2 linked regions of the Callithrix jacchus genome follow. The protein of the gene in region 1 purifies or fractionates together with the protein of each later gene. This does not show direct contact. Links are inferred from orthologs where the notes say so. Each region holds a gene or a part of one and is shown on either strand. Other genes may lie near its edges. The genes, in order: RRP1B and NCL.

The links.
Region 2: the proteins of RRP1B (region 1) and NCL purify together in Homo sapiens (affinity purification with mass spectrometry; 3 studies listed by BioGRID and IntAct, with this or other methods). This does not show direct contact. The link is inferred for Callithrix jacchus from reciprocal best matches to the Homo sapiens genes RRP1B and NCL.

The regions. Positions count from the first base shown.
Region 1 is NC_133522.1:49,325,545-49,341,303, forward strand, and holds the start of RRP1B (ribosomal RNA processing protein 1 homolog B), read left to right. Parts: upstream 1-6,105; 5' UTR 6,106-6,202; coding exon 6,203-6,332; intron 6,333-6,691; exon of another isoform or gene 6,692-6,696; coding exon of another isoform or gene 6,697-6,815; exon of another isoform or gene 6,816-6,865; intron 6,866-6,922; exon of another isoform or gene 6,923-7,313; intron 7,314-8,442; coding exon of another isoform or gene 8,443-8,486; exon of another isoform or gene 8,487-8,568; intron 8,569-15,599; coding exon 15,600-15,682; intron 15,683-15,759. Other genes in the region: HSF2BP (heat shock factor 2-binding protein), read right to left, coding at 2,907-3,057, 4,049-4,075. UniProt on the Homo sapiens protein: Positively regulates DNA damage-induced apoptosis by acting as a transcriptional coactivator of proapoptotic target genes of the transcriptional activator E2F1.
Region 2 is NC_133507.1:152,890,453-152,905,611, forward strand, and holds NCL (nucleolin), read right to left. Parts: upstream 14,255-15,159; 5' UTR 14,115-14,254; coding exon 14,097-14,114; intron 13,685-14,096; exon of another isoform or gene 13,463-13,684; intron 13,026-13,462; coding exon 12,894-13,025; intron 11,771-12,893; coding exon 11,302-11,770; intron 10,610-11,301; coding exon 10,412-10,609; intron 10,307-10,411; coding exon 10,220-10,306; intron 10,183-10,219; exon of another isoform or gene 10,113-10,182; intron 10,038-10,112; coding exon 9,896-10,037; intron 8,874-9,895; coding exon 8,749-8,873; intron 7,818-8,748; coding exon 7,694-7,817; intron 7,197-7,693; coding exon 7,039-7,196; intron 6,525-7,038; coding exon 6,401-6,524; intron 6,171-6,400; coding exon 6,037-6,170; intron 5,927-6,036; exon of another isoform or gene 5,847-5,926; intron 5,539-5,846; coding exon 5,412-5,538; intron 5,341-5,411; exon of another isoform or gene 5,203-5,340; intron 5,051-5,202; coding exon 4,827-5,050; intron 4,678-4,826; coding exon 4,601-4,677; 3' UTR 4,178-4,600; downstream 1-4,177. UniProt on the Homo sapiens protein: Nucleolin is the major nucleolar protein of growing eukaryotic cells. It is found associated with intranucleolar chromatin and pre-ribosomal particles. It induces chromatin decondensation by binding to histone H1.

The sequences.
Region 1 (15,759 bases):
TTGGGTGAGGTTTTTAGCTTTTTGTCCTTTATCCTAAAAGCAGAGAAGCTTCTGAGACTTACGCAGGTGAATGGCATCATCAGATTGAACTGCCAGGAACTACTCAGGCTACTACTGTGTCCAAGGGACTGGAGAGTGGCAGTGAAGAGGCTGCCAGGAAGAGGCAGAACACAGCATTGGAGAAGGACGCAGGCTGATGATTCAGGACGCACCCAGCAAGTCACACTCATCAGAGGCACCACCAGGCAGGTTTTGCGGGGAGCAGTGAGGAAGAGAGACAGATGACAAGGAAGCCTCCCGGGTCTCTAGTCTGGGAGGCGATGCTCTGGGGAGACTGAGGCAGGCCGGTGTAAGACAGGGGTAGGGGATGGATAGCATGAGGCAGATATGACAAGAGGAAGTAAAAATAAGCTTGCACCGAGAAAGCAAAAGACTGTCCTGACTTTTGTCAGGTTGGAGTAACACACACAGATGAAGTCGGGTGCCAAGTGAACAGAAAATGTGTCTCCCAAAGACAGTGCAACTGTAAAGTGTCACAACGATCTCTCCTTCAAGTGACTGCTAACTTTTATAAACTGAGAAGCCTTACTCTGAAATTCCGGACTGTCAGAAACTTTGTTGTCTGAAATTACACCAGGAAGAAGATTCCACTCTTGCCTGCAGGATCTAAGTCACTGTGACACAGAAGAGACTATTTCCAGCCACTGCAGAGCTTCAAGTAAGGATTGCTAGAACAATGTGCCACATCTATTTGAACTTTGTAGTTTTCAAGGGAACAGGACCTGGGTCCACTTCACAGTCAGACTTGATACTGGTCCCTCTAGACACAGCTCTGTTTTGCTTCATTTACGCCTCACCTAATTCCACTCGTCTCCAAGTCCAGTAACAGCTCTATCTTCTTCTGTGTTGAAATGCCCTAGTTTCTCTGGTGCTCTAGTGTGGTCTTCCCCACTGCAAAGAGCCATAAACCTCACTCTGTCAGACTGCGGGTCTGTTCCTGGTGACCTCAGACTAGTAATTAGGGTAGAGCAAGCATTCAGAATTTGAAATAATGGTGAAACAAGCAGGAAGAAATGCCAGGCAGGCGTCAGACACACGGCCTTGAGCTTGAGGAGACTGCTGGGCTAGAGAGTAAATCCAGCAGCCAGCCGCTGGCATCAAGACGGTAGCTGAAGCTGTGAGTGTGCATGAGGCTGCCTAGGGAGAAGCCACGGGGCGAGGCGAGAAGGGGCCTAGGGCTGAGCCTCAGGCACTATCTGAAGGCCGCTAAGCAGAGGATACATCAGCAAAGGAGAACAAGCAGGAATCGCCCGAGATCATGGAAAAAGGTGACTCTATAGCATTGGGGAGGCCGGGACTATAAGATCAGATCTCCCCAAGTCTGACTGTGGTCAAGTGACCACAGATTTGTTTGTGGCCCTCACTGGGTTTGGTTTTGGCAGGGAGAATGATCACTAAAGACACTCATGTTAATTAACTCACGAGGCCCCGATGTATTTTTCAGAATGCCAGTTTATTTATTTACAGTGAGAATATAACCAACCAGCAGGCTGCCATACACTGCTACTGGTGTATGTCTATTTACCTTCCTTTCCTGAAGATAAATGCACAAGGAATGACTCATCTCAAAAAGTCGATGGATGGGCATGAAATCAGAAATTACGAAGTCAATGACCTGACATTTTGGCAGCCAATGACATGGCACATATCTGGCAGGGTCCCAGTAGGAAAGACAAATCAACACAGATGTTGAGACTTCTCTGAGAGGACCACTTACAGAGGGGAGAACAGAGATAAAGGAACCACCAGGGGACAGTGAGGCACCCAGGGACTAGCAACAGCCCTAGAGCCAAAGAAGCAGGTGGGAGAAAACAGCATTACTGGAGTCCAGCAAGAGCTAGGACAGTGGAAGAGGGCTCTAGACAGGAGTCTCCGTTGTGGAGGGATGCAGCTACTGCCACCCCACCACGGCAAAGCAGGGAGGGAGCAGGAAGAAACACCCACCCAACCTCTCCACCCAGCAATACCTTCCATTGGTAACCCCCACTGGCACCCAGCAAGGTAACTGGGGGAACCCTGACTGCAGGGATTCACCTCCCAGAGCACACCACAAGGCAGAGAATGGATCTGAGGAAACCAAAGACAATGTAAACAGCGCGAGGCACTATCCCTTCCAACTGGATATGGCTGGCCTACTCACCAGATACATTTGCACAAGACAGAAACTCATGTTCTTGGGGTGAGCTACCTCCTTGTATGGACGAGTGCTAGGCCTGCCTGGGCCCTCCGGATGCACCTTTTCTAGGGGGCACACAGTGAGGGCTAACCACCAAATGTCACGCTGTGATTTGGCTGATTTGACATGATTCAGTCTCAGTCAGCCAAGGGCTGAGTCAATCTCCAGGAACTTCCGTAGTCTCCTATAACGGCGCGGCTCAAATCTCAAAAGGCTGAACGGACACCAGAAAGCCTAAACTTCAACCAATTCTAGAAAGTGACTCACCCATCCACCTAAAGGTAAGTGAACACACTTCCAGCTATCTCTACTGACAAGTTAACTCCATGCAAGGTTTCCATATGGCACGATCCTTAACTTACACGGTAAGTACTTAATTTCCTGAGCAGAGCTTTACAGAGTGTAAACTTCTTCTGCCAATGAAGAGAGAGAGAAAGAAGCTGATAATAGATGCTCAGAAAACTGGCAACGTTTCCTCTACCACCAACTTACATGCCCAAGTTACTATGTTGAGGAAACCTCCCTTTTCTTAGGTCATCGGACTCTCCCAAATGTCATCACAAGGACTATACGAGCGCCTTCAAATGTGTTTACAATTACTTACTTCCCTAAGGTAAATCTACCAGAACAAATTAGTCACCACCAATGACTGCTAAAAATGCAGACTCACTTTTTTCTACAATCTTCAATTTCTGGAAGCTTTCCAGCACCTCCCCATTTAGTATTCTGGGTAAGAAATCCCGTATTTGCATCACTTCAGTTGTCAGCCGTTCCAGGTCCTTCTTTCTGACTTTAACAAATTCCTCTTTGGTTCCCATGTGCTAAAAGAACAAGCAGATCTTATTACATTTCTCTTCATATGACAAAAAAAAAAAAAAAAACCAGCCCAAGTCAACTTGTTTCCTTTTCTTTCATGCCTCTTGTGTTCATAACTGCTTCAAATCCTTTTCACCTACTGCATGCTCTGCTCCATTTCTATGTATATATAAACGTTTTCAAAGCTGAGGCTTCAGCCTTCAGAAAGGGGGCAGATGTGAAAAACAGTAAGTGCACACAGGCCAGGCACGGTGGCTCACACTTGAAACCCCAGGACTTTGGGAGGCCAGGGGTTGGAGCAGCCTGAGCAACAGAGACCGTGTCTACACAAATACGGAAACATGGCCAGAGGCCGGGCGCGGCGGCCCACGCCTGTAATCCCAGCACTTCGGGAGGCCGAGGCGGGCGGATCACGAAGTCAGGAGATCGAGACCATCCTGGCAAACGTGGTAAAACCCCCTTCTCCACTAAAAATACAAAAATTATGCGGTGTGGTGGCGCGCTGTAGTCCAGCTACCGGGGAGGCTGAGGCAGGAGAGTCGCTTGAACCCGGGAGGCGGAGGCTGCGGGAGCCGAGGTCGCGACACTGCCCTCCAGCCTGGCGACAGAGCGAGACTCCGTCTGAAAAGGGAAATGTAAACCATTCTGTGCGGGGCAGACTCTCTCAGCCTGACGCCAAGTCCCGGAGCGGCCCTCCGCAGGGAAACCGGGCTTCCGCGGGGCAGCGAGCGCAGGGACCATCCATCCCACGCTCCCACGCCCGCGCTGGCGCCACTCAGGCCCCACCGCGCGCGGCCAAACAGACCCGGCCCCCGCGTGGCTTTGCAGGCGAAGTCGCCTCGCGCCCAGGCCTCCACCCCGTTCCGCCGCAGCCCACGCTGTCCGGGGCCCGGTCTCCAGGCCTCCCCAAGCACGGGACAGCGGGCCGACCGCGAGCGCAGCGGGCGAGGCTCCGCGGGTGCCAGTGGCCGGGGCCTCCTCCCCGACCCAACTGACCTCCTGAGCGCCGCTCGCTTCGTCCATGGCCGCCGCCCCCTGCGCTACGTTCCTTGCGTGAAGGCGGCGACCTCTGACCCCTCACGCCAGAAAGCGCGGGAACGCGTCCACGGGGGTCGGGAACGGAGAGCCACGAGGCTCAAACCTCGCAGAACCTGAGCGGCATTCTCCGCCTGGGGGGCGAGGAGCGGCCGTGATGAGGACGCGCTTTGGCTCTTCCGGCTGAGCCCGGATTTTAAACTTGTTATCTACGAAGCAGAAGGAAAGTCAGCCCCTGCTGTAAGCGTCATGTGAAAGAAATCGGGGCCGGGCGCGGCGGCTCACGCCTGTAATCCCAGCACTTTGGGAGGCCGAGGCGGGTGGATCACGAGGTCAAGAGATCGAGACCATCCAGGTCAACACGGTGAAACCCCGTCTCTACTAAAAATACAAAAATTAGCTGGGCACGGTGGCACGTGCCTGTAATCCCAGCTACTCGGGAGGCTGAGGCAGGAGAATGGCTTGAACCCAGGAGGCAGAGGTTGCGGTGAGCCGAGATCGCGCCATTGCACTCCAGCCTGGGTAACAAGAGCGAAACTCCGTCTCAAAAAAAAAAAAAAAAAAAGAAAAAAAATCGGAGGGGTCCTTTCTGCTTGGCGGGGAGTGCTGCCCTAAGGGGGACTGCGTTGAAACGGGCAATCTTGGCTGGAAACTCGCCTCCGCGGCCCGCCTTCCCTCGCTGGGATTCAGGCGCTTTCATATTAAGGGTTGAATTTGGCCACAGGCATCTCGGGAGGTCGCCCAGATAACTGAATGGGGTTAACGTACATAACCCCCCACACACTACGTTTGGAGTCATCTAGGCCATTAACGCCTGCCGAGTCCGCAAGCTATAGGATGGCCTCGGGTTATACATGAACCCAAAGCTGATTTCTTCCCTCCCAAGCAGCCCGCCCTGCCCAGCTCCCCCGGGAAGCGCGCGTGCTCTCCAGGCCTCGGGACGCCGGCGCGGGCGCCCCTGCACTGGCACCAGGGCTCCGGGGTAGGGGCGTGCCGAGCTGCCCGAGGCTCCGCTGGCGCTGGCGAAAGGAACGCTCTCCACCCGCTCAGCAGGCCCCAGTGCCGGCCTTTCCTTCCACTCTCGACTCCACCCGGGGGGACCCGGAGGCTCCACAATTAAAAACTTCGTAGGAGAGCTGCCGGCCCAACGGGGTGTGCTAAAGGGGACTAAAGATCCTGGACCGGGCCGGGCGCGGTGGCTCACGCCTGTAATCCCAGCACTTTGGGAGGCCGAGGCGGGTGGATCACGAGCTCAAGAGAGCGAGACCATCCTGGTCAACATGGTGAAACCCCGTCTCTACCAAAAATACAAAAAATTAGCTGGGCATGCCTGTAATCCCAGCTGCTCAGGAGGCTGAGGCAGGAGAATTGCCTGAACCCAGGAGGCGGAGGTTGCGGTGAGCCGAGATCGCGCCATTGCACTCCAGCCTGGGTAACAAGAGCCAAACTCCGTCTCAAAAAGAAAAAAAAAAGATCCTGGACCGTGGCCAGGCGCGGTGGCTGCAGCCTGTACTCCCAGCGCTCAGAGAGGCCGAGGCGGGAGGATCGCTTGAGGCTAGGAGTTTGAGAGCAGCCTGGGCAACACAACGAGACCCCGTCTCTATAAAAGATGATAATAATTAGCGGGGCGTGATGGCGCGCGCCTGTAGTCTCAGCTACTCCGGCGGTCGACGTGGGAGGATCGCTTGAGTCTGGGAGGTCGAGGCTGCAGTGAGCCGAGATCGCGCCACTGCACTCCAGCATGGGCGACATAGCAAGACCTTGTGTCAAACAAATAAAAATTCCTAGACCGTTTGCCAACATCCGTCCGTCTCCTCCCGGCCAAGTCCTAACCCTGGCTAACTTCGCCGTCTACAGCCTCAATTCTGGCAATCGAAAGGCAGCGACGGAGCCAAGCACACGCGGGACAGACCGCCACGACGGCCGCCAGGGCCAGGGCCGCGCTCACTCCCAGAACGCACCACGAGCGCCGGCGCCTTTGTGACGCCATCAGCCCGCGCGTCACCGCCGCCTACTGCGCAGTCGCGGCTCGTGCGGACGGCGACGGCTCAGCGGTGCACGGTTGGCGGCAGCGGCACTGTGGGTTGCGCGGCCGGGGATGCCCCAGCGGGCGCGATGGCCCCCGCCATGCAGCCGGCCGAGATCCAGTTTGCCCAGCGGCTGGCGTCCAGCGAGAAGGGCATCCGGGACCGGGCGGTGAAGAAGCTGCGCCAGTACATCAGCGTGAAGACGCAGAGGGAGACAGGTGGGCGCACGGCGGCGGTCAGCCGCGCCACATGGCGGGCCCGGGGCAGGGGCGGCGGCGCGGAACGCGGCTTCCATGCGTTGTCGTGACACCGAGAGTGTCCTCCGGTTTCCGCGCTGCCAGAACTGCTTCTTGCTGTCTAGTGCCTTTTTACAGTTGAGGAAACAGGTTGAGGGGGTTCTGTTACTTGCGAAAGTCACGGTGAGCGGGGAAGCTGAGAAAAGACCCACATGGGGCGGATTCCCTGACCCGCATCTCGCATCACTGGGCTGCCCTGATGCAGCTCAACGGCAGTGCTGTGTGATCTGGCCACTGCCTACATCTCCAGCTTCATCTCATAACACTCTCCCCCTCCCCAGCTTACCGGCATCTGGCATCACTGCGCTGCCCTGCTGTCCCGCCGGTGATTCCCGCCTTTCTTTGACCAGCACCTTTACGTGCGGGGGCTGCAGGCGAGAAGACAAAATCCCTTCTCTGGAGGATCTGTTGGTGATAAAGCAAGGAGACAATCAGGCAAATAAAGTAGACCTCGTGTAAGTGTAGTGAAGGGAATGAAAGCCAGGTAGTACGCCGGGCATGGCGGATCATACCTGTAATCCCAGCACTTTGGGAGGCCAAGGCGGGCGGATCACCTGAGGTCAGGGGTTCGAGACCAGCTTGGCCAACTTGGTGAAACCCTGTCTCTACCAAAAATACAAAAATTAGCCAGGCGCAGTGGCGCGGGCCTGTAGCCCCAGCTTCTCGGGAGGCTGGGGAGGTAGACTTGCTTAAACCCGAGAGGGCAAGGTTGCAGTGAGCCGAGATTGCACCATTGCTCTGCAGCCTGGACGATAGAGCAAGAATTTGTCTTCTAAAAACAAAAAGAAGAAGAAGAGAGAAGAAAGAAAGAAAAACAGGTAATAGAAAAAAAAGTGAAGGAGGTTGCTCTTCGTGAGAGGCTGTTCTGAGAAGGCCTCACTGGGTGATGTTCAGCTGGGATCTGAAGAGAGATGGGCGGAAACCACCTATGCCGTGACAGGAAGGAGTGAATGCCCTCCCCTAGGAGTGGTTGAAAGACCAGTAAGCTGGGGAGGGGGAAAGTGTTATGAGATGAAGCTGGAGATGTAGGCAGTGGCCAGATCACACAGCACTGCTGTTGAAGGATTTCACTTACCTGATCCAAAAATATTTTTTGTAAACTCTTGAGTGAGCCCATATGATATGAACCACAATGTGTGATAGAGGTTTTACGCTGCAGCAAGATTAAGTGTGATTTAGCTGCTGCTGGTATTAATACATTAGAATCTGCTTAGAAGAGCAGATAGTATCTCCCCACCACTGATATTCTCAGTTTGTTTTATTTTGAAGAGAAATCACCCGAGTACCCCAAAAAAGAAAATACGCTTTCCTGGGAACTCTGGTGGAAAAGGAAAGAAAACCAGAATTCCTGACTGATTCCATTAGGGTCTCCCTACGAGATTTTGTTTGCTGGCACAGTTCGGGGTACCCCATGTATGCTGGTGGTTTCTAAAGCTAAGTTGTTGACCCAGCCCTTTCCTGCTTGCAGCTCCAGTGAGCCTTGCTAGCCTGACGTCTCTACCTTGCACCTCACACTCAGAATGCCAAAAAACGGCCCGTTTTCTTCCCCCCAAAGCCTCTTTGCTGCTGCTCCTCTGCCACCTGTTTTCTCTTCTTTTAGCTGCTAGTTTCTACCAGCCACTCAGACTCCAGCCAGACACACAGGATTGTCCTGGACTCCTCTGTCTTCCTCATCCTCTTGCCCTGACCCACATCCAGTGCCCCTCAGCCCTACCTCCTTCACCTCCTGTTGAAATACATTCTCCGACCTTAGGCCCTTTGCATCTCCCCGGACTTCTGCACCTACATGTTCCCTAACTGGTTGCCTTAACTTCATTTGTGTCCCCCCCCCCCCCGAATCTCCTCCACAGACCAGCCCAGGGTCATCTTCCTAAAACAAATCTGATCCCACATCACCAATATTTTTGAAATCCAGTATCTGCAAGTCATGATCTGTCCTCAGGTGCTTTTCCTCCTAAGCCCCATGTGACTGCTTCGTGTTCCGTCAGCAGAAGCGTTCGTGGTTCCTGGCGTACAACACACAATTTCTCACCTCTCTGGCGTTGCTTCTCCTGTTCGCTCTGCAAAGGATCCCATGTCTTCCTCACCTTCAGTTCGGCATCACTTCCTCCAAAGAGCCTTCCTCGCCCTACTCCTCCAGGGCTCTAAAACATCTACTGTGTCTTTGTTGTAGTGCTTAGCTACATTGCTTCTTACTTATCTGTTAATGTGTCATTCTTCTCCAGAGACACTGTAAGTTTCCATCTGTTTTCTTAGCCAGAAGTGGGAGTACATGTAGCCATAAAACGTCCTGACCTGTGCAAGAGCAGAAGACCGAAAGCAATACGTATGGGGCTAAGACAGCCTAGGCAGAGAGCCTTTTGCTCAAACCCTTTGGTGAGCCAGCCCAGGACTTGCAAATGCTGGGGTTATGCAGGGGCCGAAGACCAGTTACACCAGTGCCCCAGAGTCCTGTCTGCTTAGTGCCTGTCACACCCAGGGTTACTCGTACATCTTGTCCACCACCACATTGCATGGAGGACAGTGGGCCTTCAAAAAATAACTCTGCACTGTGAGCATCATGGGCAGTGATAACGGACAGGAAAACAAGGTCTCCGCCATAGCGCTGCCCCACCACAGTCAAAACACAAATTTGGAAATAACTGGACCTGATATTTGACTCCCGTTGACAGGCTGAAACTTTTTTTGCATCTTGTCTTAGGCATTATAAAGGAAATCTGAGATTTCACTCTTCCTGAAACATGAGCAGTTCTGCAGCAACATAAATGGGTAGCTTTGTAATTTTAAAAATAAATTGGAAATGTTTGTATTGCTTTAAGTAACAGAATGTTGCGCTCATGCTCTAACCGTTCAAGTTGTGTACTGACAGTCGTAAAATGATCACTCTGCATGCCTTTCATTCGTAAAGCTCATCTGTCCCAATTCATTCATTCATTCACTCATATATTTAGCAAACATTTATAGAGTGCCAACTGTCTACTACTATGTACGCTATTCTTGGCACTGGGAATATGGCGGTGAGGAAAACAGACAGTCCCTGCCTATCTTACCTGTTCTGCAGCTCTAAACATAGGTACTGAAATGCGAGGCATTCTGAAGTCAACCTGGTAAGTTTCATCTGCATCACTGCTTTCTTTTTGGCGACATGTAACAGTACATCTTGGAGTCAGTGTAGATGATGCAGGAAATACGTTTTTAATAACAATGGGGTGAGGGTTCTCTCTACCCAAGCGTTATGATACATAGGAGATGTGGATGTTTTGGCACTGGGGTGTGTTCAAGTGTGACCCTTAACTGCATCTAAAATGGCTCCTGGGCTCATTGCATGCTGAGGTAGCTCTTGGATTTGCTCATTTCAGAACTTACTGATGTTTCACATATCTGCATATCTCACTTCAACGTTCACCTCGTTTGTTTTGTGTGTTTGTGTGTGTGTGTGTGAGTGTTGTATTTTTTTGACAGATGGATCTAACTCTGTCACCTGGGCTGGAGTGCAGTGGTGCTATCTCGGCTCACTGCAACCTCCACCTCCCAGGTTCAAGCGATTCTGCTGCCTCGGCTTCCCAAGTTGCTGGGACTATAGGCATGCACCACCACGCTCAGCTAATTTTTGTATTTTTTTAACTAGAGACTGGGTTTCACTGTATGTTGGCCAGGCTGGTCTTGAACTCTTGACCTAAGGTGATCCACCCACCTCAGCCTCCCAAAGTGCTGGGATTACAGGCGTGAGCCACTGTACCCGGCCTACCTCATTCGTTTTGAAATAACTAAACCTATATTGTGTTGTTGTAAAAACACAGTTGTATTAAGTTTAAGAGATTGAGCCTCAAGAAGACAGAAGGGCGGTGAGAGCAAACTGCTACGGACAATGTGCTTCGCCTTTCAGAGCTCAGAAGGTTATTCGCTAATAAACATTTCTCTCTTTTACTTTGAATACTTCAAAAACCGTTGGCTTGTTAAATTCCTAGGTGAACACACACACAGACATATATGGAAAATAGATGTTTTAATAGGGGACAGACTGTAACTAGACTCTGGGAAGAGAGTGCGACCATTATTACTGTAATAGGCCACCAACTGAATAGTGCTTTATTCTTAGTGTTTCCACACCTTGGGTCTGACCCTAACCATCAGTCTTTTACAGTATAGGCGATAGAACTGAGGCTCAAAAGTTAATGGACAGTTTTCGGCCACTGGGCCCTTGTCAGTAGGAAGCTGGGACCTACGCCAAGGTTTGTTTCAGTGCTGTTCTGTTGCCTCCTGGAAAAGAGAAAATCAGAATATCTTTTCTCATTGTGTTAGTCTGTTCTCATGCTGCTAATAAAGACATACCCGAAACTGGGTAATTTATAAAGGGAAGAGGTTTAATGGACTCACAGTTCCATGTGGCTGGGGAGGCCTCACAGTCATGGCAGAGGGCAAGACAGAAATAAAGCAGAGGCATCTCTTGCATGGTAGCAAGCAAGAGGGCATGTGCAGGAGAACTCGCCTTTATAAAACTGTTAGATCTTGGCTGGGTGCAGTGGCGCACACCTGTAATCCCAGCACTTTAGGAGGTTGAGGCGGGTGGATCACGAGGTCAAGAGGTCTAGACCATCCTGGCCAAGATGGTGAAACCTCATCTCTACTAAAAATATAAAAATTAGCTGAGCATGGTGGTACGAGCCTGTAGTCCCAGCTGCTCAGGAGGCTGAGGCAGGAGAATCACTTGAACCCAGGAGGTGGAGGTTGCAGTGAGCCGAGATTGCACCACTACACTCCAGCCTGGGTAACAGAGGGAGACTCCATCTCAAAAAAACACCTGTTAGATCTCATGAGACCCATTCACTGTCCGTAGGACAGCATGAGAAAAACCTGCCCCATGATTCAGATGGCTCCCACCGGTCCCTCCCAGTTTTGTGGGGATTATTACAATTCAAGGTGAGATCTGAGCGGGGACACAGCCAAACCGTGTTACTCACGCAGCTCACTTTGCTACCTCCTGTCCAGGATCTGTTGTCGCTCTGTCAGAATCTACTGTTTTCCATTTTGAACACCTCTGTAGGACATAATATTGTGCCTCTGTGTGTCCTGGGTGCGGGCTGTCCACAGTAGATCCCCAGCAGATCGCATCATCACTTTCCGTTGGCTTGACCCAGTGGTACACTTCCGAGACCATCTGGAGAGAAATACACTGTTTTTAAGTGAGGAAGACCAGAGTACAGAATAGTATGCCATTTAGGTCACACACACAACTGTAACTGTGATGTAAATAAACGCCCAGGAAAGATCTGGAAAGATGCACATCAGGCAGGCGGTGTCAGTCCCTCTGGGTAGGAGCCTGGGATTCGAGGGCAGGGAGCAAGCCAGGCTTGTGATGATAGCCCTTTGGTGGTAAGGTTCTTTGGGGTTAATGCGTGTTTTTATCAGTTAGGACTCTTTCAGCTGCAACTCGACAGAACATCCACGCCACCCTAGTTTTAAGGGGAAAGTGAAGCACAGCTTTGTGGAGGAGCTCAACTGCTGGTGCCAGAATCTTGTTTTTCTCAACTGCAACCCTGCTGCCCCAAGATCGTTCTCCATTCTGAGACAGGCTCCACTTACATTACCAGGTGGCTGGGAGCAGGTACAAACACTGTGTTCTCTTCAGGTGCAGTAGGAGAGAGCTAGAGACTCCTCAGGCCTGAGCAAGAGGATCTGTATCTGCAGAGGGTCGCTAGGCTCTTCTTGAACCTGTCCTGTGGCCGAGGGAATTCTGTTGAATTGGCTAAAGCTGCCTCCCCTCCATGTGGGGAAAGCCCCACCCAGACCACAGTGTCCCTCTGTGCCCTGCTTGAAGGTGGGGAGCCTTGGAGGGGAATCACCATGTAGCTGCCCACCAAGGACAGGGACAAGGACTGCCCTGCGCCTGACCCCACACAGTAACCTGTGTCCTTTAAATCCTCTTTTTGTTTTTAAGTTGATTAACGCTGCTACCTTCCAGTGACATCATTGTCTTAGTCTGTTGCATTGCTATAAAGGAATACCTGATGCTAAGAGGTTTATTTGGCTCGGGGCTCTGCAGGCTGTATGAACATGACTCCAGCATTTGCTTCCGGTGAGGACCTCAGGAAGCATCCAATCTTGGCCGGAGGGGGAGGACAGTTGTCATGTCACATAGCAAGAGAGGGAGTAATAGAGGAGGTGCCGGGCTCTTTAGCAGTCCGATCCCACGGGAACCAGGGCACTCACTTTGGTTATATAACATCCCAGGAGAATGGCACCAAGACATTCATGAGGGATCTGCCCCCGGGACCCCACACATCCCACTAGGCAGAGCTTTTTAAATAAAAAGGAGACAGCCAGGCGTCACTTTGGTAATCTCAGACGCTCCTTTTTTTCCTTCTTGTTATTAAGGAATATTTCAAATATATAAAAAGCACCCTCACTCTCTGCCTCTGCTTTCATCAGGACCTGGCCAGTTTGTCTCATCTGCCCGCTTCCTCCTTCCCCGTAGCTTCGTGTGCACCAAGTCCCAGACGTCTCATTACATTTCCAGGTGTCCGCAGTGTGTGTGTCTGTATCATGAGGATCCTTGTTTAACATAGGCACGGTGCCATCATTGCCCTTAGAAAATCCTTGATAGCAGAAACATCCGGCCTGTTTCGTTTTTCTCATCATCTCATAAATGCGTTTTACGGCCAGTCCAAATGAGGCCCACCCATTGCATTCGGCTAGTGTGTCTGCTAAGACTTAAATTCTGTTAGTTCTTACCCGTCTTTTTCTCCGTGCGGTTTCTTTGTTGGAGGACACAGGTCACATTTCTTGTAGTTTCACATGTTTGGGGTTTTATTGTCTACTTCCTGTTGTCTCACTTAACATGTTCCTCTGTTTCCTGTATTTCCCCCCAACTGTATTAATAGTTAAGATTTGACACAGTGGGGTTTTTTGTTTTTGGGGGGTTTTTTTTGCTTTTGTTTTTGCAAGAATATTTCACAAGGTGGGTGTCTCGTTCTTCCTGTTGCCATCACCTCTGGCACCGATGGAATGATTGCCTGTGTGTGTTAGTGATTGGTCAGTGGGTTTGGAGGTTTGGGTGTTGATGGTCTCACACATCCATTTTCAGTTTTGTTTCTTTGTTCGTTAGAGAGACAGAGTTGCCCTGTTGCCCAGGTTGGAGTGCAGTAGCATGATTAGAGCTCCCTGCAGCCTCAAATTCTGAGCTCAAGCCATCCTCCCACCTCAGCCACTGAGTACTTGGGACTACAGGCACATGCCACCATGCTCTGCTAATTTCTTGGTTTTGTTTGTTGGGTGTGTGTGTGTGTGTGTTTAAGACAGGATCTTGCTCTGTCACCCGGGCTGGAGTACGGTGTTACAGAGACTGGGTTTTGCATGTTGCCCAGGCTGGTCTCAAACTCCTGAGCTCAAGTGAGCTGCCACATGTGGATGCTGTCTTTTCATCTAATGTGTTAGCAGCCATTTATGATCCTTGCCCAAAGCCTTTAATTCATTGGGGACATATGTGGTCTTTGAACATGATTAAATGTAAGTGCAGGTCACGGTGACAAAAAAAGTTGCTGTGCTCATGGCTGCAGTTGGCTCAGCTCTAGTGAGCTTTATCACTCACACCGTACTTACATTACCCATGTGAGGACCCCCAGGCATGCCTTGTTCATAACAACAGGGCACGAGAACCAGTTGGCACGTATCTCTTCCACTCTGAATGGAAATATACTTTAATAAACTAGTTTTAGGATAGTTCCTGATACCTTAGTTTTACATGGAAAACTATCATAAAAGAATCAAAATGTCGGCTGGGCACCATGGCTCACACCAGTAATCCCAGCACTGGGAGACCGAGGCGGGCAGATCACCTGAGGTCAAGAGTTCAAGACCAGCCTGGCCAACGTCGTGAAGCCCCATCTCTACTAAATGTAGAAAAAATTAGCCAGGCATGATGACACACACCTGTAATCCCAGCTACTTGGGAGGCTGAGGCAGGGACTGCCGTGAGCTGAGATGGTGCCACTGCACTCCAGCCTGGGTGACAGAGCAAGACTCCATCTCAAAAGAAAACAATGAAAATGCCCCATTGTGATATTGTTGGTGGGAGAACGCCCTTAGTCAAGGAAATCGCTGCCTGTAAATGAGGGGACTCACTCTGAATGTACTCAATCAACTGTGCTGTATCCAAAAGGTCTTTTTGTCACTTTTTAAGCAGCTTTCGGAGTATCGAAGATCACGTTGATTCTAAATATGCATTTGTTTGCATTCATCTAGTTTATGCCACTTTGCTGCTGCAAAAAAGTTCTCCTAGTGCCTTCTGGTAAAATGTTAATAAAGACCGTTTGTAGCACACATCCAGACTTGAGGATTCTGTTTGTCCTGACTTCATGGTCCGTAGGCTTGGGGACTCCAAGAGTGTACACCTACCGTATCATTTTGTGAGTCTTTATGTCAGTCAGTGAATATTTTATGACACCTGGGGTCTACTCCGGAGATCGAAGGCTGAGCGAGACTTGGTCACTTAGCCATAGATCATGAAGGCAGCCAGAGAGCTCGGAGTAGCTAAGAACAAAGCCCCCCCGGTGATGCCACAGTAAATGACACCACTCCAGGGAGGGTGACTGGGAGACAGCCACTTGGGCCTCCTACTAGGATTCTTACAAGGGTCATTTTTGCAACGATGTTCCAAAGCAGTGTCAGAGTCCCCAGGCCCTTTCCTAGGCCTTTGACTTTCCGATGTCCTGTGTGGAGCTCCCGTGTCTTCAGCCTGCCTGGTTTTCTGTTCTTGGGAGTGAGGCTGCCCGTTGCTGGGCTCGTGATGACTTGAGCAAGTCCTGCCTCTCCTGTAAGATTTGCAGTTTTACTTCATGAGACCAGTGAAAATGGTGTGTGGGCTGGCTGCACGTGGGGGGCGGGGAGGGCCTTGGCAGGGAACTGATTTCATCAATGGGCACTGTGTTGGTGGATTTCATGTTATGATGACATTTGCCTCCTCATCCTGAGGCTGGGCCACCGCTGCCACCCTGCCCTGTCGCTGACAAAGCCATAGGTATGGTAGTCATTTATTTATTCAATAAGGAAATGTTTGCTTCAGTTTTTTTAAAAAGACATTTGCAAATGAAAGAGTTAAAATGTATGTGGGGTACTTCCCCAGTTTCTCCATGTCAAGCAAGGAGATGCGTAGACGCTCAGATAAGACGTTTGTGCTGTTTTGCCTTGCAGGAGGTTTCAGTCAGGAAGAACTTCTCAAAATCTGGAAGGGGCTCTTCTACTGCATGTGGCTGCAGGATGAAGCCCTCCTGCAGGTAATTCGCGTTCCCTTTCTCGTGCTCCCGGGTTCTTGCTGTGGACGGAAAGACACTTGACCACTCAGACTCTGCCA
Region 2 (15,159 bases), on another chromosome or scaffold:
GTAGAGACAGGTGTCCCGCTGTGTTGCTCAGGCTGGTGTCTAACTCCTGAGAGCTCATGCTGTCTTCCTGCCTCAGCCTCCCACAGTGCTGGGCCACTGCCTAAATTTTATTTTATTTATTTTTTTAAGACAGAGTCTTGCTCTGTTGCCCAGGCTGGAGTGCAGTGGCACAATCTTGTCTCACTGGAACCTCCGCCTCCTGGGTTCAAGTGATTTTCCTGCCTCAGCCTCCTGAGTAGCTGGGATTATATAGGTGCCTGCCACTACACCCAGCTAATTTTTTTTTTTTGAGATGGAGTCTTGCTCAGTTTCCCAGGCTGGAGTGCAGTGGCACGATCTCAGCTCACTGCAACCTCTGCCTCCCGGGTTCAAGCAATTCTCCTGCCTCAGCCTCCTGAGTAGCTGGGATTACAGACGCAGGCCACCGTGCCGGCTAATTTTTGTATTTTCAGTAGAGATGGGGTTTTATCATGTTGGCCAGGCTGGTCTCAAACTCCTGACCTCAAGTGATCCACCTGCCTCAGCCTCCCAAAGTGCTGGGATTACAGGTATGAGCCACCGTGCCTGGCCCTACTGCCTACATTCTTAAAGGTGGAGGAGGAGTTTTGGCAGGAAGGAGGGATCATTTGTCAGATGCTACAGGGAAGTAGGTGAACTGAGGGAAGACACTGGCTTTGGCATCTTAATGAACATGATGGGTGTAGGGGACAGAAGCCACACTTCAAGGAGGCTGGAGTGAGGTCATCCTGAAAGTTTGGCAATGAAGGGAAGAGGGGACAACTCTGCGAGGCAGCATGGTCAGGGGACAGTATTTTGGGATGAGAAAAGCTTTGGTATTAGGTTGAGGGGAGACAGACATACAAAGAGAACTGGGTAACTCTCAGAGAAAAAGCACAGGACATGCTTCCCAAACGTCTCAGCTGTAGGATCCTCTTAGAAACCTCTTTTGGCCGGGTGCGGTGGCTCACACCTGTAATCCCAGCACTTTGGGAGGCCAAGGTGGGCAGATCACCAGGTCAGGAGATCGAGACCATCCTAACATGGTGAAACCCTGTCTCTATTAAAAATACAAAAAAAAATTAGCTGGGCATGGTGGCACGTGCCTGTAATTGCACCTGCTTGGGAGGCTGAGGCCGGAGAATCATTTGAACCTGGGATGTGGAGGTTGTGGTGGTCAGAGATTGCCCCACTGCACTCCAGCCTGGGTGACAGAGCAAGACTCTTGTGTCAAAAAAGAAAAAGAAAAAGAAAAAAGAAACCCCTTTTGTAGGGGTTATGCAGCATTATTCAAGGTGGGAGACACCCTGGGCCTACCCACTAGTCCCAAATCTGAGGGTGAGTTTGGAGTTAGAGACGCACAGGCCTGCAGCCACGTCATTATCCGGGCTCCCTCCAGCAGCAGTTTCCAGATTCTTGCGGGCTTATGCTGCCACCTGCTGGAAGTATGATAAACGTGGCGACAACCATTTGCAGAAGAGAACAATCACTTTTCTAAAATGGCTGCAAACCCCATCAAATCAGAAACTAGAGACAGTCAGCAGGGAGGACTGTGACTTCAGTCCCTAATCGCAAGCCCTGGTGTCTTTCTGGCCCTGCAGGGTAACCACCTTCCATCCTCATCTTCATTTTTTTTTTTAGCTTAAGTTTCATTCTTGTTGCCCAGGCTGGAGTGCAATGGTACAATCTTGGCTCACCACAACCTTCGCCTCCTGGGTTCAAGCGATTCTCCTGCCTCAGCCTCCTGAATAGCTGGGATTACAGGCATGTAACACCACGCCCAGGTAATTTTTGTATTTTTAGTGGGGACGGAGTTTCGCCATGTTGGCCAGGCTGGTCTCGAACTCCTGACCTCAGGTGATCCACCCACCTTGGCCTCCCAAAGTGCTGGGATTACAGGCATCAGCCACTGTTCCCAGCCCTCATCTTCATTCTATAGGAAATTGGCACGTGATTAGAACAAGCAGTGAGAAATCATAGGACTGGACCATCTCTACTTTCCTTAAGGAATGGAAAAAAAAAAAAAAAGAATCAAGAGATAGGAACCTTAGTGTCCTGCCCTTGCCTTGCCTCACAGCAAGTTAGTAGAGTGGCTGAGAAAAAAGCCCCGCTGCTGAGCATAGTAACAGCAAGTGCCTCTTTACCAAACAGCAACTTGATAGAAATGCAAGCCCCACCTTGGGAGCCATGAACTCCTCCTTCAACTCAAGCCCTCCCTTGCACACAGCAAGGGAACCTACCAACATCTCACTCCCATAGGCTCTGCAAGTACCAAAAAAGCAATGGCTGTGCTGCACCAGAGCCACCAGCAATCCTGGCTCCTGTTCCTAGATAGCCAGCCTGTAGATTATTGCTTACTTTAACTGATGGGCCTCCCAAAAATTGCAAAAAGAAATCATCTATGAAATATTGTCACCTGACTGAAGGCTGCAGGGGACCAAGGAGAGTCCTGGAGGCATCATTTGATAGATTCCAGAGGACCTAGACACCAAGGTCACAAGGTTTTTCATTTTCTGTTACCCAGGTTGGAGTGCAGTGTTGTGATCACAGCTCACTGCAGCCTCCAACTCCTGGGCTCAAGCAATCCTCCCACCTCAGCTTCCTGAGGACTACAGGCTTATGCCATCATGGCCAGCTAATTTTTATTGTAGAGATGGGAGTCTCACTCTTACCTAGGCTGGTCTCAAACCCTCTCCCCACCCAGGCTTCCCAGGGATTACAGGTATGACCCACTGCACACAGCCTCACAAGATATTTTGACAGTTCCACTCTTGCCCAGGCTGGAGTGTAATGGCGAGATCTTGGCCTACCGCAACCTCCACCTCCTGGGTTTTGAGCTTCCTGCCTCAGCCTCCCAAAGTGCTGGGATTGCAGGTATGAGCCACTGTGCCTGATCCCTCACACATCTTTCTTGAAAGCAACTTGGGTCAGCCATTGGAGATAACTTCATACTTGTTCATACTACCTGCCTTGCTGCAATTTCAGAGCTAACAGACTGAATCCATGACAGCCAATGGGCTTCAAATAACTGAAAGCCTTCGATTCTTTGGCTAAAGGGCTTCCTTTTTTTCTTTACGTTTGCCTCATACGAGATCCTCCCACTGCTTTTTTCTCATAGCTACTACCCTTGCTGGCCACCTTCTTCTCTAGAGCATGAGGGTCTTGTAACTGGATTGTCACCACCCTCATCCCCTGGACACTGAACAGGGCTGACAAGCAGGTGATAAGCACAGGGATCCTTAAGATTTCAATACCCAACTCAACCAGAGTAAACCCAAAGCAGCTGTCGTCTTCAGGTTGCCTTCTAAACTTAACAGTTAACTGATTTCACTGGCCTGACCAGAACAGGCTTTTGGACTTGGCTACCTACGTTGATTTTAGGCACTGGGTTTCAGTTAAATTCATCACAATGTTGATAGTCCTTTGACTTAGACCTTGCTTATAAGCCAATTACTTATGACCAGAAAATAAGCAATATATGTAGTGCAGAATGAATGGCTTTTTTGGGCTTTACTGGATTGGCAGTTTCCTCCTCAGCCCCACAGTCCCAATGTCCTTTGGTCTATCCATCTAGCATGAGTTCTATTCCAGAAGTGCTTCTTTGTAGTCTCGCCGTTGCCCAGCTTGTGGGCATGCCCTGTAGTGATGCACGCTCAGCTCACTGTAACCTGTTTCCCGGGTTTGACCTGACTCTCCTGCTTCAGCCTCCTGAGTAGCAGTGACTACAAGCGCATACCACCACACGGAGCTAATTTTATATCTTTAGTAGAGACAGGGTTTTACTATGTTGGCCAGGCTGGTCTTAAACTCCTAACCTCAAGTCATCTGCCTGCCCTCACCTCCCCAAGTACTGGGATTGCAGGCGTGAGGCAGTGCCTGACCCTGATGCTCTTAACTACTTGTCCTAGGAAACCTGTGTTCCCATACTTTCCAGAGTCTTCTTCTGGACATAATCCTCAGGCTTGCTACAAGTGGGAGAAGCTGCAGCCACCTTCAAGCCAGCACCAGGGCTGTAGGAGTGGGTGCCCTCACCAGCTTTTCAGCCAAGTTGTGGGCTGGGACACTGGAAATGCACACACTGAGCATTTCCATTGGTAAGGATGAAGCAGGTGGCAGAGCTGGCTATGCCATGCTCTCCAGTGACAATCCAGGGGCAACACTCTTTAGGAAGTAACACGTCTGGCACCAGAGTTGACTTTTAATTTGTCCTAAAGCTGCTGAAGCAAAAACCATGATAAAACATTTTGCTTTCTTTTTACAACCCCCAGAACGCAAAAAAACAAAAAACAAAAAAACCACAACAACAAAACCCAAACTATTTGTAGGAAAAAATGGTTTTGTACATGGGATGAAACAATATAAATTCAAAACTTACAGATAAGGGTTAGCTCTATCACTCAACTCTTTAAAAAGTTTATACGAATATCCAGTCAAAACCAACAAGGTATTGCCCTTGAAATGTTATCTATACGATTTCCAAGGAGACCACAGGACTGTATACTGTCTTGGAATGTCCTCAGAAGGCTCTGTCATTGATCAGGTAACAGTAAAAACCCCAGAGTCCTTTCTTTCAAATGGAAAAGGGAAAGCATAGGAACAGAAGCTATTCAAACTTCGTCTTCTTTCCTTGTGGCTTGTGGTCACCTCCTCCTCCTCTGCCTCCTCGGAAGCCACCTCGCCCTACAGGGGGAAAGCAAGACGCTGTTAAAGTATGTATACAAAGCTCCTCCTCCCCAGTGATTAGGAATCCTGACAGGGTACAGGGTCTGAAGCATATATGCTGTGTGGCATCCAGTACATACTGAAGAAGTCATCCCTGTATACCTTACCTCCAAAGCCTCCCCGGCCTCTGCCACCAAATCCTCCTCGGCCTCCTCTGCCACCACCTCGGCCTCCAAAGCCACCTCTGCCTCCACCACGACCCCCAAAGCCACCTTCACCCTTAGGTTTGGCCCAGTCCAAGGTAACTTTATTTCCATCAATTTCACCATCTTCCATGGCCTCCTTGGCAGCTTTGGCATCCTCCTCACTGTTGAAGTCTACAAACCCAAACCTAGAACACCAAATGAAATTGCCCATTATAAAAAGCACCTGCTGCACATGTCCCAGGTAAGTTCAGGCAAGTAGTCTTGTTTGGTTGGGAAGAGAACCAGTGACAGAATAGTTCTCTATGGAAAACTAACTGGTATGACAGCTTGAACCCCAGAATGTCTCACAAAACAGCCAAATATACCTCTGTAAAGACAGAAGGTAAAATAATGACAGTTCTGTGAATTCTCTTCTTCTTCTCGTGCGAATCCATAAACTGCCATCGATAGACAGAAAGGAGCTCAATGAGAAGACACATTAGAGTCGGGGTCTCCACAACAAAAACCCCTTCAAGTGGAGGCAGCACCCATGCTTCTTGTCCTTACCCTTTGGAGGACCCAGTTTCCCGGTCAGTGACTATCCTTGCCCGAACAGAGCCGTCAAATGACTCCTTTAATGTCTCTTCAGTGGTATCCTCAGACAGGCCTTTGACAAACAGTGTTTTGGATGGCTCTGGGGAAGGAAAAAAATTGTGACTATGTGAAGTCACAGTTTAGACATAATAACAATGAAATCTGCACGATGCCTAGTATGACTATTGGCCAAGAATGCTTGTCTTAGTGGAAAAGCAGTTAAAAGCAACTAAGCCAACTAGTTTTAATTCAAATAAGGCTGTTGTGAGTTTCCATTTCTAAATTGCCCCTGCATAGTTGATCTCCTGCCCCAGAACTAATATGGAAAGTGTGAGAAGCAACCCAAGCAAGTGCTGCCCACTGGAGGGGCAGGAAATCACAGGCAAGCTTGCTGCTCTGAGTTGACAGCTGGATCAGAACTTGACTATCTAGAGGAATTTTCTTGAGATTTCATCAATTATTTCTCAGGTAATCAGTCATCATATCCAGTTATTCTTCACTCAGCAGCAACAGAAAACACAGAAGTTGTGCAAAAAATAAGCACTGAAAGCACTGGAGTGCCACCCCCAACCACAGCATCCTATCCAGGTTAACTTACGGCTTCTGGCATTAGGCGATCCCCTGGGTCCTTGCAACTCCAGCCTGATGGCTCTGCCCTCAATTTCCCTTTTATTACAGGAATTTAAAGCTTCTTTAGCATCTTCAAATGAAGCAAACTCTATAAATGCATACCTGAGGATGAACAGTTAATGCTTAGACTAAGCTGCCAGGCACATGGTCCTCTGTCACATGATGCTGCCAAGCCCCTTCCCTCAAGTCCATACCTAAATGATGCTATTTACACTCATTTACATAACTAAAATGATTTGGCTTTTCTGACAGGATCACACATGACCTTACCTTCCTTTAGACCTATAAGACACACACAGACCATAACTGATGACATAAAGGTATTATCTTACCCTTTAGATTTGCCATTTTGGTTCTGGGGTACTTTGATAAAAGTTGCTTTTTCAAATACTTCCTGAAGAGTTTCTTCTGTTGCACTGTAGGAGAGGTTGCTTAAAACCAGTGTTTTTGATTCACCTGCAGACAGAGATGCCACAATCTTAAAACTTTGACACACAGGTTCCCAACTTTGCTCACAGCAGTACTATCTTATTCCTAAGAATTTCAGTGCTTGAAAGAGTTATTACACAAATACTGATGTAAGTAAAATCCACTTCTGTTACTCAACATACTGAGTACCTAGTATATATGCTGCAATGTCCTGCAGGTTGTTCTTTATGTATAGGCTGACTACTGGTCTGTTTTCCTAGAACAATAATCTAAGTTCAAAACACACATGGTTGAAGTCATTTAAAGTACAAAACATACCTACAAAGGAAGCTTGATTTGCCTACTGTGTTCCAATGCAAAATGATTTCAGAGCTCTCATTCAGGACTAGAAATTACTACTCCAATTAAGAGTATGACTAGAAGTATAATGTCCTGATCTTCACTTACGTTTAAGTAACTTTGATTAAAAAGTACTTAGGAAGTACAAAGACAAAGGATTTCTCTCCAATTCTGCAACCCTGTAACAAGCCTAATTTCTTACCACTCCAAGTGCTATTCTTTCCACCTCTATAGTCTTGATTTTGACCTTTCTCTCCAGTATAATACAGGGAAATAGATCGCCCATCAATCTCTGTTCCCTGCTTTTCTTCAAAGGTTTTCTCTGCATCAGCTTCTGTCTTAAATTCAATATAAGCAATCCTGCAATGGAGGGAGAAGAACTAGTGATTTTAAAAACCATATTAACACAAATGCTTTTACCTCAGCAACACAGAACTTGCTTCAGATCTGAGTACAATAAATGCCCTTAGTTTTATGCCAATCAAAATGCCAAACTTCCCTTCTAATTTTCAATCAAAACTTGAGCTTCCGCTTTCCCACTAAAAAGTTTTACAAAAACTCAATTTTCTTCAGTCACTTCACCTCACTGAAAGCACTGCTACTACTTACAAAACTTATTTATTATAAGCTAGGCACATTTCTTGCTCCTTTATATGTATTAGCTTGTCTTTTAAAATCACCCTATGAGTACGTTATCCCCACAGTACAGATGGGTAATTGAGGCACAGGTTTACAGATTAAATGGCCCACGATTACACCTAAGAAAATCAAACCAACATTTCTTTTGTTAATGCAGGAAAGTGCGTTAATGTTGTAAAAACCTTAAAAACCCCAACATTTCAATAGACAGAACATACCCTTTACTTTTCCCATCCTTGCTGACTAATCTGATCTCCGCAGCATCTTCAAACACTTCTTTTAATTCATCCTGAGTGACTTTGTAAGGGAGATTTTTAGCCAAAAGTGTTCTCGCATCTCGTTCTAGATTAAAAAATAAAAATTAGCTGTATGGCCTAAAAAAACCCTGAACATTTAGCGACAATAAAAGTGGGGCAAAAACAGACATAGCTCTATTCAACAAATAATTTGAGATCCCATGATATACAAGGCTCTGTGCTCAATATGGAGATACCGCGGTGGCAACACACAAGTGGTCCCTCCATGTTGTCACAGCTGATGTCAAACTATCTGTTCAAACTAGAGTTCAACCTAGAGTAGATGTGCATGATTTTTAGAAACAAACAAAAAAATGAATATACCAATTTAAAACACTACAACTGTATCGAGAAAAAAAGCAAAGGATTCAAACCGTAATTAGGGACCTACTCTAGTTTCAGTGAAGACAGAACCCTTTAATTTAGGTGCATCTAATCTTATTCTCAATGAAAGTGCTCATTTGCCTAACTCAGGAATTTACACCGTAACACTAGCAAGCAGCACCGAGTACTCTTGTAAACACTAACTCATTAAATCCCGCATTAAGAAAGCAGGGTAAACATTTTTTTAAAAATAAAAGGAGCCGGGCGCGGTGGCTCACGCCTGTAATCCCAGCACTTTGGGAGGCCGAGGCGGGTGGATCACGAGGTCAATAGATCGAGACCATCCTGGTCAACATGGTGAAACCCCATCTCTACTAAAAATACAAAAAATTAGCTGGGCATGGTGGCGCGTGCCTGTAATCCCAGCTACTCAGGAGGCTGAGGCAGGAGAATTCCCTGAACCCAGGAGGCAGAGGTTGCAGTGAGCAGAGATCGCGCCACTGCACTCCAGCCTGGGTAACGGGAGCAAAATTCCGTCTCAAAAATAAATAAATAAAATAAAATTTAAAAAAATAAATAAACGGGTTCCAAAGCATTCTCCCTAGCAGTCTAGCGCCTGGGTTTGCTGCATCATCTCCTAAATCACTACATACCTTTCTTACTGTCTTTTCCTTTTGGTTTCTCTAGTTTAATTTCATTGCCAAAGACTTTCAAACCAGTAAGTTCCAAGGCTTTTTCCAGGTCTTCAGCAGATTCAAAATCCACATAACCAAATTTCCTTTGAGGTGAAGAAGAGGGCAAAATTCCAACAGGTGAAAACACAAATCGAAATCCACAATATGTATTCCAGACAAATGTGATGGTACAAACAAAGATCACATTAAAAAGCACCACTGGTATTAGCAAAATAAAGTCAAGGCTCTGCAAATTGTAGCTACAGAACAAGGTCTTAGTGTGAAGATATGACATGCACATTCACCTCTGAGGTCCTCATTACTAGCTAAATTGCTTCTAACAACTGACCACAGCAGCTGAAAAGAACACCTATAAGCACTAATACAGGAGAATCCTGTCTGGATAAAAGCATTCACTGTGACTAGTCAAGTCTAACAGTTTTAGGTACTTCCAAAAAAATAAACATCAAATTATTATTTTAAATTGAGACAGAGTTTTGCTCTGTTGTCCAGGCTGGAGTGCAGTGGCATGATCCTGGCTCACTGCAACCTCCATCTCCCAGGTTCAAGCAATGCTCCTAACACCAAATTATTAAAACTTACTGGCCGGGTGCTGTGGCTCAGGCTTGTAATCCCAGCAGTTTGGGAGGCTGAGGTGGGCAGATCACAAGGTCAGGAGATCGAGACCATCCTGGCTAACACGGTGAAACCTCGTCTCTACTAAAAATACAAAAAATTAGCTGGGCATGGTAGCACATGCCTGTAAGTCCCAGCTACTCGGGAGGCTGAGACAGGAGAATCTCACTTGAACCCAGGAGGCGGAGGTTGCAGTGAGCCAAGACTGCACCACTGCACTCCAGCCTGGGTGAGAATGAGACTCTGTCACAAAAAAAAAAAAAAAAAAAAAAAAAAAACAAACTAAAGATTATTCCATCCTATACTAAGAGTTATCCTATATTAAAAAATTGCGCTTTAGGGGCTCTATAATTTGATTTTAACTTAGTTCACTAATGCTAATCCTTGAAGATGTTTACATTATTCATGTTTAAAAGCACCAGGCTAAAGTGCTAATAGGGGAGGGAAAGGCGTTAACAGACCCATGTGTAAGATGCAGGGAAGCACTTACCTAGTCATACCAATTCTGACATCCACAACAGCAAGATCATTTTTAGCAAAAACATCACTGATACCAGTTTTTAATTCAGGAGCAGATTTGTTAAAGTTTAGGTTTCCAACAAAGAGATTGAAAGCCGTGGTCGGTTCTGTGCCTATTCAAAAAAAGCTGAACTCAGTCTATTTGTAAAGTGTGGTAAAAAGTTTCCAATGCAAAATTTCTATACACAGCACATCAGCACACTGCAAGGTAACATCAAGTTTCAGTATTAAGTCCCTTTGTCATTCATCATTTGTGCTGTTTATCTCCCCCACATCCCCCAATTCTGCAAGTTACCTTCCACCTTCTGTTTCTTGGCTTCAGGAGCTGCTTTCTGTTTGGTCATTTCCTTCTTTCGTTTTCCAGATGCTTCTTTGACAGGCTCTGGACAAGATGTCAAACAATGTATCACCCATCAATAACCACAAACACTTAAGTGTCTCCTTTAAACATCTCATGTCAATGTATGTCAGAATCTAATTTAATTACCTTCTTCTTCCTCTTCTTCCTCCTCGTCCTCATCATCTTCCTCCTCATCCTCATCATCATCTTCATCATCATCCTCGTCCTCATCATCCTCTTCATCTTCATCTTCAGCTACGTTCTTGGCTTTCACAGAAACAGGAACAGCTTTTGCAGCTTTCTTTCCTTTGGCTGGCGTAGTCTCCATAGCTTCTTCTTCAGAGTCTGAAAGAAAAGCCACCTAGTCAAAAAATTCCAGCAATCACCAGAAATAAATAGCGGTTTTAAAATCTAATGGACATAAAGTGTAGTCCTGTCACCATGGTTAGTTAATAGTCATGGCAAGAGTAGACCACTTAGGGTCAGGCACAGTGGCTCACACCTGTAATCCCAGCACTTTGGGAGGCCAAAGTGGGTGCATCACCTGAGGTCAAGGTTCGAGACCAGCCTGGCCAATATGGTCAAACCCCACCTCTACTAAATATACAAAAATTAGTCAGGTGTGGTGGCAGGCACCTGTAATCCCAGCTACTTGGGAGACTGAAGCAGGAGAATCGCTTGAACCCAGGAGACAGAGGTTGCAGTTAACCAAGATCATGCCATTGCACTCCAGCCATGGCAACAGAGCAAAAACTCAGTCTCAAAAAAATTTAAAAAAAAAAAAAAAAAAAAAATCACTTTGAACCAAAATCCTGTATTATGAAAAACAATCAGACTATGCTGTTGAAATTTTCTCAAGGCACAAAATCATTAATGGGTAATTAAGTCTGGCACACAACAGCCCAGAGAATTCCCACAAGGATTCCAATCTCACCTCCAGGATCTCCAGGTTGTTGTGGAAGGAATACATAGTATTGCTCCCAGAATCAAGATAACTTGCAAACAGAAGCCTAGTAACTACCAAGAGAACGCCTTACCATCTTCATCATCCTCATCCTCCTCATCATCATCTTCATCATCCTCATCGTCCTCATCCTCTGAGGCAGGGGCAGCAGCTGCTGCTTTCACCACTGCTGGTTCAAATTCATCATCATCCTCATCATCGTCATCATCCTCATCTTCCTCACTGTCATCCTCCTCTTCATCACTGTCTTCCTTCTTGGCATTCTTGCCATTCTTTGCCCCCTTGGCTGGGATGGCAGCACCCTTCTTACCAGGAGTTGCTACCAATGCTTTGCCTGGTGTGGCTCCCTTCTTGCCAGGTGTGGCGACTGCTTTGGCCAGTGTAACTGTCTTCTTGGCAGGTGTTGCTGCTGCCTTTTTGCCTGGAGTGACAGCTGCTTTCTTGGCCGGTGGGGCAACTGCAACCTTTTTTGTTGGGGAAACTACCACTTTCTTTGCTGGGGTTGCAGCAGCCTTCTTGCCTTTCTTTTGAGGTATGACAACCTTGAGAATAAATGAAAACCAAACCAGTAAGAAGACAACCATGGTCCCAACTAGTGTTAGATTCTGTCAATGCCTATGGTTCAAGACCACAAGCCCTAGACACACGTTACCATGTTAAACTCCATATTATCAGGTGAATATCTAGGAATAAGGAACCCTTCTGAACACTTAAAATACCTCTGAATTCTCATACCTCATACTTTCCCAAATCCCAACTTTCTCACCTGAAAATGGTAATAGTATCATCCTTACATGTCTAAGGAACAGGAATTGCTATGTGTAAATTATTCACAACCGTACACATAGGAGGCTCCAAGCATTAACTGTTATTAAATCATCTGAGGCTCCTACAGTAGGTGCTGGTACCAAGCTTGGTGAAGCTCAATTCTTAAGATACGAGATGAAATGAAGATCAAATAGGCTGAATATCCCTTACAAAACGATGAATCCACCATTTAGCTACATTAATAAAGTCCCACTGAAATCTGCTTTTTGATTACTAGTTTTATCAGGCAATGTATGGAAAAGTAACTTTTATTCAATTCTCAAAGAGAAGTCTGAGCACAATTCAGTCCTCACTTGTCTTCATAGCGAACAAATAAATAGCCAGGAGTGCTAGAGGGTAAACGTTAACACAAAGGGCGGTGGCAGCCCTCAGTCTACACCAGAGACAACAGTAACACAGTGAGTAGTGTAATGGAATAGAGACCAATTAATCTTAAATGGAGCCTAGGAAAGGAATCTGGTAAGGTTATCCTCAGATCTGAATACAACGCCCAGCTCTGCCATTGAGAGAACAGATCTTTCCCTTGTGTCTAAAATGTGGGGGTGAGGATAACATGTTGAAACTGGACAAATGTAACGATTCAGCACAACAAATCACACTCCAAGCCCTGCAGAGGCACATGGAAAGGAGATCCCCAGATCTGTCTCAAACTCACATTCAAATATTTAGCCAAATGACATCTTGACATGAACGAAGAGCTTGTGAAACACTCGATCACTACAACAGGAGATACGCAGATGAATAAAATCTTATTTTTATCATAGACATCCAATTTCATGTCCTAACTCCCCATTTTGTAGTTTTAACTTAATTCCGCATTGAGTTGGATGAAATTACCTCTTCTCCGCTGCTATCATCTTCTTCTTCTTCTTCCTCTTCTTCTTCTGACATTTCCTCATCTTCACTATCTTCTTCTACCTCCTTTGGAGGAGGAGCCATTTTCTTGGGGTCACCTTGATTTTTACCTGCCTAAAATGGTAACAAGTACATCATCACATCTTCACTTCGACATTTCAGGCCATTCACGTTTTGCCATTACTGTTCAGTGTAAAACGCCATCATCTCCTTCCTCAGATCCATTTCTCATAGGGCCAAACAGCACAACTAACATAAAAACTAGCCCTAATGGCAATGCAAGAGGTCCTGCTCTCAACCGCCCACACATGTTTGCTGTCAGGCTCTACAAACAGAAAATCAAACCTACGGTAAAAAGTCAACCTGAAGAAGTGAAGAAATCATTTCTTCAGGTTGACTTTTTACCGTAGGTTTGACTTTTTTTTTTCCTTAGGCTTTCTAAGTACACCCGTGTTTTAGTACTTCAAATCCCGGAACCTTATTCTACAACCCTTATCCAAATCCAAATCCAAATTATGAGTGAAGATCATTAAGGCACTTAAAAAAAATACCTTGGTTTTCTGATGAACGTTATTCCTTTCCCAGCGAGACAACCCCGCCCCTAAAAGAGGCGGCGCGGCCACGTGGGGGTACCTGGTAGGCCACCACGTGCCCGAAACACCGCGGCAGAGCCACCTTCCGGGGCCCACCACGTGTCGGCTTGCCGGGCAGGGGCAGACATCCCGAGCGCAGCCGGTCCTCCGACTCGGGCCGATACCGCCATTTCCCACCCTAACGCACCACTCCCTCTGGAGATTCCCGGACCCACGCGGCGAGGCCCACGTGGCAGGCCGCGCTCCCGGGCACGTGCGTCAGGAGTCGGGTTCTAGCTCGTACGCGTCGCATCTCGTACGCGAGATGAGTCTGGTCTCATCTCCTTGCCCCGGGGCCTAGCGCCCCCTCCCCGCGCTCAGTGACTCTGTCTTTCCCGCCGCGTTCGCCGCCCCCAACACCTGCAGAAGCTCTTCACCTCGCCACCAAGTAGCCAGAAACCGCGAGACCTCCCCACTAATCGCGCGAGACTTCCCGCAGCATGGCGCCCTCGAACGCGGCCGGGACTGCGCGCAGGCCCTCCTCCCCGCGGCGCCGCGCTCACCCCTCGGAAAGCAGGCCTAGATCTCGGTGCTCGCACTCAAGGCCGCTTACCTTCGCGAGCTTCACCATGACGACAGCTTATGGCGGCGGAGTGTGGAGCGAGCAAGTGACGCAGATGAGCCCAGAGGGAGCCAAGCGACGGCGATGGCGGCCGCGGTACTGAAGATCCCGGAGCACGTACACCCTAAGGACAGCGAGAGCTCGAGACTGAGGCGAAAGACAGAGCCTGCCCAGTAATCGCCTGTGGAAAGACGACGACGACGCCCTCGTGACTCCGCGCCGGCCAACCAGAGCTCGCGGCCGTCCCTATGAGCCAATCGCGAGCTTCTAACCAAGAACGGCGCGGGGCTGGGAATGGGCGGGCCGAGACGGCCACGGGAGGGGGAGGTGCTGGCAGCAGCGGCGTGGGGGCGGGGCTCGCTTTGTGGAAGGCCCGCGCTGATTGGGCCGTGGGCGCGCGGGTCCCAGCCTGCGCCGTGGGACTAGCGTTTTTGGCGCCGGGTGTGAGGGGAGCGCGGGGGTGGTGTAAATCGGGCGGCCTTCGTTTCTCTAGCGTGGTTGCATCTCTAGACTCCGACAGCCCTGAGGTTCGAGGCCTCAGAGATCCCGCGCGCGGCCCCGGCACGCACTCACGCCGCGGCTCCCGGCAGCCCTGAGCGAGGAGCCCTCCAGCGCCGGAAGTTCAGGGACCGCGGAGTTCCCGTTGGCCCTTTCGGGGGCACAGCTTCGCCCTGATGCCCGCGAGCATGGGGCCGGAGACACCCTCGGCTCCAGGCAGCCTCCTGAGAGCTCTTAATAAAGGCAGTGGCGGGTCTGTGCGACGTTTTCTGTGAGAAGTGCACGAACCTCCCCTACCCCACAGAACCTCAGGCGGGAGGTATTTCTGGTCACGGGAAACAGCCTCGGAGAAGTAACTTTCTGGCCTCACATGGCAGGGAGAGGTGCCTGGGCGGGCTGACCGTAGAGCCGGGCCTCTGGCCGCCCACGGGTTCCCTGGTTGGTATTACGCGCCAGTTAAGGTGGTGGCTGCGAAGTCAGCGTCACCAGATGGCCCGGGAGCAGGTCGGGAGCCACCTGCAGGGCTCCCCCGCGGCAGAGCAGAGGAGGCCGCCAG